Oryzias latipes: one gene and its partner. The protein of the gene in region 1 purifies or fractionates together with the protein of each later gene. This does not show direct contact. Links are inferred from orthologs where the notes say so. Each region holds a gene or a part of one and is shown on either strand. Other genes may lie near its edges.

Evidence for each region.
Region 2: the proteins of ntrk1 (region 1) and cdc37 purify together in Homo sapiens (affinity purification with mass spectrometry; 3 studies listed by BioGRID and IntAct, with this or other methods). This does not show direct contact. The link is inferred for Oryzias latipes from reciprocal best matches to the Homo sapiens genes NTRK1 and CDC37.

What each region holds. Positions count from the first base shown.
Region 1 is NC_019874.2:29,079,822-29,083,925, forward strand, and holds the start of ntrk1 (high affinity nerve growth factor receptor), read right to left. Parts: upstream 2,809-4,104; 5' UTR 1,626-2,808; coding exon 1,429-1,625; intron 1-1,428. UniProt on the Homo sapiens protein: Receptor tyrosine kinase involved in the development and the maturation of the central and peripheral nervous systems through regulation of proliferation, differentiation and survival of sympathetic and nervous neurons.
Region 2 is NC_019866.2:8,383,063-8,387,119, reverse strand, and holds the start of cdc37 (hsp90 co-chaperone Cdc37), read left to right. Parts: upstream 1-1,254; 5' UTR 1,255-1,413; intron 1,414-1,494; 5' UTR 1,495-1,495; coding exon 1,496-1,603; intron 1,604-1,793; coding exon 1,794-2,069; intron 2,070-2,226; coding exon 2,227-2,332; intron 2,333-2,418; coding exon 2,419-2,534; intron 2,535-2,674; coding exon 2,675-2,797; intron 2,798-3,045; coding exon 3,046-3,228; intron 3,229-3,310; coding exon 3,311-3,382; intron 3,383-3,481; coding exon 3,482-3,607; 3' UTR 3,608-4,057. Other genes in the region: cmc4 (cx9C motif-containing protein 4), read left to right, coding at 52-194. UniProt on the Homo sapiens protein: Co-chaperone that binds to numerous kinases and promotes their interaction with the Hsp90 complex, resulting in stabilization and promotion of their activity. Inhibits HSP90AA1 ATPase activity.

The sequences.
Region 1 (4,104 bases):
GACTGACCCACGCAGCCATAATGTGATTAAAGGACAGGTGGGCCCAGGATTACCCCACTGGCCGTGCTTATTGGATTGAGCCAAGTGGGTTATATATCATCTATTGTTCCCGAGTGGAGGCATTGACTGGCAATTCACAAAATTGAATTTATAACTCTGCCTATGATGAATTTCGGCTCCTGTCCCTCGGTTAATGGCCCCTTGTTTGTCTTGCCTTGCTCTGCCAATACCGAGAAGTGTTGCTGTTTGCTGGCATGCAGAGCGGCGCAGTAAACACCAGCCTGCTCTCTTATTGATTGGGCGTTTGGGAGAGAATGTCAAGCCTTGGCCCGAGCTCTGTGTTTAACTGAAGACACAAGGAAATACCTGTGAGGTAGCAGGACGACAAGACGCTGAAAGGGGGGGGGGGGGGGGGGTTACAGCTCTGCATAGGTTGAAAGGAACTGGCCGTTAATTGACTTGCTCCACTGAAATGGGCGTAGTTCCTTCTTAACAAGTGCTAATTGCTCAGCTCGGAGAAGGAGAACAAAGAGAGAACAGCGTGGCGGTGCAGGGAGTGACATTTAGTTTTCTGTGCTGGAGCTGATGGTGGGTTGCTTAATAATACAGCAGCCCTCTTTAAAATCACAGGTGGTCAGTTTCCCTCTGCCTTTTCTGAGCAGAGCTTTAAAAAAACTCGGTAAAATAGCAGTTTTCTGGGGTTGAGTGGAAAGTCTCAGCTCACCTGAGCGACAAGTGAGTTTCCTTCCACACAAACCCTCCTCAAATGTGGAACCAAAAGCCCATTTTCATGGCCAGCAAAAGAGCTTCCAAAACATGGAATCATATTCATCAGCCTTCATCTGCTTTGGGTCAGAACAACCTCAGAGTCTCAAGCAGGAGATTTGAGTCACAGAAATGAAGAGATGATATTTTTAAACACTTGACAAACAAAAACACCTGGATTCCGAATACCATAAACAGATCGAGAACAATAAAGATTAAAGATTATGTGTTCATAAAAAGACTTTCCTGCATCAAACGTTCATTCTCTATCTGTGATCATACAAATATTTTTATTCAAACTTTGTTTGAGTAACTTTGTTTCACTAATTTGTGAAAAATAAAGTTTGAAAAAGTTTATTCTAAAGATGCAGATCATCCTCGCAAACTTCGTACATCGCATCTCCATCGGTTAAAAAGCTGATCCAAGTTCAAGCCAGCTAAAGTTGCAGTTGACATGACATGAACCTCCAACTGTTGCAGGAAAGTTTGCTGAGACTTTCTCAGTGTGGAAACTGAGAGCTGCAGAGCGCAAACGTTTTCCTTCAGGAGGTTTTTGGAGGCTTTTAAAACTACTTTATCAGAAATGAAAACAAGAGCCAAAGCAGACCATCACAACTGTGTTTGGGAGCTTGAGGTGGAGGTGTGGCGTTGAATGCTACTTACATCTCTGTCACATTTTCACTCTCCATTGGGTCGAGTGGTGGGATGCTGGTGATCCGGTTGGGCTCCAGGCACTGCAGCATGGCAAATGAACAGCGGCAAGCCAGAGGGCATCTTCCCAGAGCGGGCACGGGCGACAGACTCAGGATGGCGAGCACCAGGGGTAAAAGAAGAGCCAGGGCCTGGGCTGCTGCAGCCATCTCCACGAGGGGTCTCCTCAGCACCACCAGGCAGGTATGGTAGCTATAGCTGGAGTTGGAGTCTCAGCGCTTCACTTAAGTGAGCGTAAACAAGAGCTAGCACACACTCCTCTCTCTGAGATCCCAGCTGGTCGGGGTCTGGTAACACAGCTGTACTGAGCAGCAGGAGGGGCGGCCAGGCAAGGAGGCTGAGGGCCCCTGGGGACATACTGGTAGTGGGCTGGAGCCTCTCTATTTCTCCCTCTCTCCTCCAACCTCCACGTGAAGGGAGGAGCAACAGAACATGGCCAGGAGTCACCAGACACCTCTGGGAGCAGGATGGTGGATGAGGGAGGGGCTGGAGGGGAAGGGTGTGTGTTGATAATGAGGAGGAGAAGAGGGATACAGTGATGGAGATCTCCTCTGCCCCCGTTGCTCCATCCCCCCTTCTTGAAGTGTGAGCAGAGGCAACAGTTCAGGACTCCGGGGTCCTGGATGGTGTGCATCAGCATCCCCCTCTGTGTCCTGGGACAGCCAAAGGGCTGGTGAGTGCTGACATGAAGCGTCAGGGATGATATTAATGTCTGTGGGTGGAGGAGTGGAAACTCACTCAGGAAGACGTGAGGACTCAGAGCAGAACAGATTTTAAAGGAGTGGAGACCTTCCAAAGCTTCTGCTGAGCTCATTTATCAAAGCAAAATAACTTGACTCAAGTTTTCCATAAAAAAGCATCAGGGGATCCGCCAAATATCTGGATTTTTTTAGGGTTTCTGAGGTATTGGAGGAGGGAAAAAAAGATAAAAAGCCTGTAAGAAAGTCCAAGGATTCCTATAGTGCCTATCCATCTACTACTGGGCAAAGGTGGAGCAAACAGGTTGCCAGTCTGTTGCAGAGCCACAGATGCGCACCTATAGGAACAATTTCTTATCCTAAATTAACCCATGAAGCATGTTTTTGGACTGTGGGAGGAAACCGACACATGTACAAGGTGAGCATGCAAAATCCACTTAGAAAGGTCCTAGCTGGGACTCGAACCAGGATCACTGTGGGGTGAGACTGTGCAGCCCACTGTAAAGAAATGATAGAACAAGAATAACAAAAAACTATGAAAAATAATGGAAAACTTCATAAAAAATCAAACTGATAATGTTATTTTAGACCTAAAGTAGATTAAAATCTCAGAAAAATCAAAGTAGTGTGCTGCATGCCATAACTCCTATGATCCTACAAGTGCTCTCATGTCTGCCGCTTAGATATCCATTTACTTTATGATCTCTATAGGAGCAAAGCCCCCCCCCATGGAACACAAACTGCCTCCCACCCCCATTCCTCTTAGTCATGAGTAAGGTCATGGTGTCTTGACCACAATTACTGGCCATGAGCGCAAACGACAATTTCTGCTGCCATCATCAAGTTTATCTGCTGGCTTCATTACTCCCCCCTTTTATGCCCCCCCATTTTCTTTGTCTTAGCTCAGCAAAAAGCGAAGAGGGACAAGGAAGCACTTATTCCCGGGAAAAGTGTCTGAGAGCTGAAGTGTGGCAGTTAAACAAAGAAAATCCTGTGGAGCAAGGGAATGCAAAGATACCCACATGAAGTCAGTTTGCAAAATGGGTTCGATTATCAGATCATAAAGAATTTATGTCTCCAAAGCTCCCAAACACAGACAACAGAAGTACAGATGGTTTAGTTGAAGGAACTAAACTGTCTAGAAAAGCAAACTTCTGGAGGATCAGTCGGTAACAGAACAACTGGCCCCTCCAGGCCCTGTCCATGGTCCTGGAACTGCACTCACGTTTAGTGACTGTAAAGCTCCAGACAACATTTGGAGAGCTTCAAATTCTGAATAGTTAACAGATTATAGATCTAGTGGTACATTTAAAGTGACAATCGTAGCACAATTATACAGAAAAAGAAGCCGTAAAAAATTAAGGAATTCAGTCAAAGAAGGAAAAAGCTGAAAAAGGGAAATACTTCATCAAAGCGGTTCAGGTAGAACCGCAGGTCTGCTTGTAGCTGCGCTGCTGGACGCAGATGGAAACAGTCTTCTGAAAGCTGAAGTGAACTCCATCTTTGTCACAGTCGCCTCCAAACTTCAAGAGATTTCCGTTTCTGCACTTTTTTCCGATGGACCATTTGCTGCTTAAATCTCGTGAAGTTGTTTCGTTGACGATCTCTGAATGAAGGAATTTGATTAACTTTCTGCTCGTCAATCAGGAAAAGTGGGAAACTTGCTGGATTCTGGCAACAAATCAGAATGGGACCTAACATCTCTGACGCTGGGGTCATCTTCTTATGCAAATGTCAGTGCAAGTATCAAATGTGAGGACAGGAACCACAGCATAAAACTAGATCTTTAAGTGCTGCTAATCAACTAGGGATGAACTAATCAATGAAAAAAAAACAAAAAAAAACTCCCCGACACCTTTTATAACAGTTTTTTTTTTTGCATACTTAAAATAGTGTTTGTTGTTTTTTCCAGCATTTACTGAGCCGCTAA
Region 2 (4,057 bases), on another chromosome or scaffold:
TCTAATGCAAATCTCAAACAAATTTGTGAACTTTTTGTTCTCATCTCACAGCTAACAAGTATGTGGAAAGTAAATGCGAGGATGTGATCCGAGAGATGCAGCGGTGCTGTGCAGCGCAAACTGGAAACTCCGTCTGCTGCTCAGGTTTCAAAGACTCCAAACTGACAAACTTCAAACCGAGCAAAAATAGCTGACACCACCTGCTGATGACTTGCATTCAATGGAAATAAAAAGTATATAAAATTGTCTAGTTCATCTTCTTTTCTCTGTTAGATTGAACATTTTCTAGCTATTTTATTCAAACGTGTTGTCACAGGTTATGATCGCAACACCGGCGATGAAGAAAAAAGGAAAACATTCACAAACTGATCTTGTTTTCCTTTCTTAGAACTTGAACTTTTCCTTCTTGGGAACGGACAAACTAAATTATCATCTATCAGTCTGGAGCACACATCTATATCTGAAACATAACTATATAAAAATCATATCTGGCCATTTATATCAAGAACGAAAAATAGCAGTAAGCAAATGAATATCATACTCTTAGTTTACCATATTACGTAGGTACATTTTCTAAATCTTATATGTAAAAATAATAATCTTCTAATATGTGTTCAGATCAGCATTCTAATTTATTCTTAATTCGCCTTGAAAAATGTAATCATTCGGGTCATGGTGCTTTTCTTTCTTTTTTATATTTAAATATAATTTCCCTTTTCTTTAATTTTTATTGAACAATTGCAACATACAGAACAAAGAAATGCAACAATTATGCACAGATAATGTACATTACAATTCTGAATACAGAATAAACGTGTTACATGCTTAAGAAGATTCTAATTATTTCTAACAATCACAAAAGGGAATAAAAAATTAAAATAAATAAAGAAAATAGAACTAAACATAGAAAAAAAATGATAAAATAAAAAGAGAAAATGCGAGAGTAAACTTGTGTTATTATTCCAAAAGATTTACAAATGTTAATTGTTTTTTGAGCTTTTGTGTTTTTTGAAGCTGAAATTAAGTTTAAATATTGCTGCAGTTCCAGTTTTAACACAAATAAATCAGTTTTTTATAGGAGAATTTGCTTTTATGAATATCAAATTTAGCCATAAATAACAACATGTTTATACAAAAGAAAGCATCACAGTCTTTCAGATTAAAACTATGAAAACCAAATATTTTCCGTTTTTGGTCATTGTTTCCGGTGTCTAAATTACGACGTACAATGTACGCGCCTTACGTATGACGTAAACGGAAGCTTTGGGGAGAATTTCTTCTAGAACTCTGTAGCAGCTTCCCGTTAGCTCTTGCTTGGGAGTAACAAATCAATTCGCACGACCAAATTTGGAGTACAGAAACACAGAGCACCAACACACATTTCTGAAGGGTTCGAGTGTGAATATTTCTTAGGTCGGTATTTTAGCGAGCGTGATTTAGACGCCAACTTAACCGAGTTCTAGTCGAAGCTAGCGCTGCTTCTTCTTGCTGCAGGATGTCCAGGATAGATTACAGCGTGTGGGATCACATTGAGGTATCGGATGATGAAGATGATACCCACCCAAATATTGACACTCCCAGTCTCTTCAGATGGAGACACCAGGTAAATATAAAAGCTTTTCGGAAAAGTGCTTAGCGTGATCGTTAGCTTTCACTTTCTGCTTGTAATTCTTCAGCCATGCTAATTTTCCTACTTACTTCGGATTCCTGAATTTGAACTCAAACTGGACAAGAGCTGATGAGTATTTGAAATTGTTTACACATGATGTTCACGCGTGTGATCTGTTCCTTAGGCGCGCGTGGAGCGAATGGAAGAATTCCAGAAGAAAGGCGAAGACCTAAAAAAAGGACTCGCCGAATGTCGGCGTAAACTCACGGAGTTACAGACAAAGATCCAGGACCTGAACCTTTCCGATGGTGTCAAAACAGAGCTCACCAAATACCAAGCCGATGAGAAGAAGCTGAAAAAAGAGGAGCGGGACTGGGAGAAAAAGCTGGATGAGTACTACAGGGAGGAGAAGAAGATGCCGTGGAACGTGGACACACTCAGCAAGGAAGGGTTCAGCAAGGTGACTTCTATATGCAGATAGAAACCTGTGGTTTTCTAGCAAGAGGTTGGAAAATCCAATGAAGCTCACATTAGTCCGTTGACATTTTATAAACAAAGTAGTTATTTCAAATCAATGCTAGATGGTGTCAAATCTTGATCTTTGTTCTCGCTTATAGAGCATAGTGAACATAAAACCTGAAACTTCGGAAGATACGGAAGAAGAAAAGGAGAAAAAACACAAAACATTTGTTGAAAAACACGAGAAGCAGATTAAACATTTCGGTAAGCCTGAGTAACTTCCATAAGGTCATTCTGTTGTCTTTTCCCTTCTTTAAAAACAATTTAAGTCTATTTTTATTAACTTACAGGGATGTTGCGACGATGGGACGACAGCCAAAAGTATCTCTCTGACAATCCTCATCTTGTATGTGAAGAAACCGCTAACTATCTCGTCATCATGTGCATTGATCTGGAAGTTGAGGAGGTAAACACATATACTTATATTTTTATTTTATATTCTTGTATCTTTGTTTTTTAGCATATCTTCTCCTCAAAGTGTGTGCTCCTGTTTGCAGCTGTTTAGGTTTTTCATTTCTTAGTAAAGCTTTGCTTTCCTATTTGCAGAAACACGCACTGATGGAGCAGGTGGCCCATCAGACCATTGTCATGCAGTTCATTCTTGAGTTGGCAAAAAGCCTCAAAGTGGATCCCCGCGGTTGCTTCCGTCAGTTTTTTGCAAAGATTAAAGTAAGCAAGTTTATTTAATTTTATTGTGTTTAATTGCTCTGAACTTATTCATTTTAAAGAAGATGTTTGGGCAGGAAAAGAAAGGGTGCTTTCATAAACAAGCAGTACAAAAATCAAAGGCAGTCTGTCTGTTATTCCTGGACTAAAACAGATTATTTTAAAAGTCCTTTTTTTTTTACCAGAAGTTTCTGTAAAATTTTATACTTCTGGTTTGGAATGTTCACATTTGTTCATTTGTTTTCTTACAGACCGCAGATCAGCAATACCAAGATGCTTTTAACGACGAGCTTGAGGCGTTTAAAGAACGGGTGAGAGGAAGAGCAAAGATTCGCATAGAAAAGGCCCTGAAAGAATACGAGGAAGAGGAGCGGCAGAAGCGGTTGGGGCCTGGAGGCCTGGATCCAGTTGAAGTGTATGAGTCGCTGCCTGCTGTAAGTGCATTCTAACAAGCAGGGTTTCATTTTTTGTCTCTATTGAGTTTGAAATGCTCACATAGTTTGCCTTCAACCACAGGAAATGCAGAAATGCTTTGATGAGAAGGACATCCAAATGTTACAAGAAGTCATCAGTAAAATGGATCCAACTGTAAGCTATACAGTTTTGTCTGGTTGAATCTTTTTGGATTTAGGTGCTTTTTTTTTTTTTAAGAAATCCCTGTTAACATGTGACTGTCGTGTCTTTTAGGAGGCAAAACATCATATGAAGCGTTGCATTGACTCAGGTCTGTGGGTCCCCAACTCTGGGGAAGGAAAGGAGGAAGAAGGGACCTATGAAGAGGTGAAACGGGAGCCGGAAGAAACAAAGGAGTGATCACAATGGATTTGTTGTTTGCAATTGTATTCACTTACTGTACCCCAGTCTCATTTAATGTAAAACAGCTTGCCAATAAACACCATCATTTCTTTAAACTTTTTGAGTACAAATTTGAATTATAAATGTGTAATAAGTCACATATTTGAAACAACAAAAACAAACTGTGTTTCTGCATCGCCTGAGCTGAATGTTTTTCCTTCATTTGTTATGCTTTGTTGGTATTGGTGCATAGTTGCAAGCTTAAGTCTAACATTGTCACATTTTTTTGCAACAGATATTTTATGTGACATTTGTACAACATTCACCGTTAAGTTCCAATGTTTTGATTTTTTTTTTTTCTTTCCTCCGGGTCTTTTACATTATTCAGGACAACAAAAACATTGACTTGTGCTCAAATAATCATTCAAACTGCTTGATTGATGAGCTTTATAGAACAGCTGGTAAATG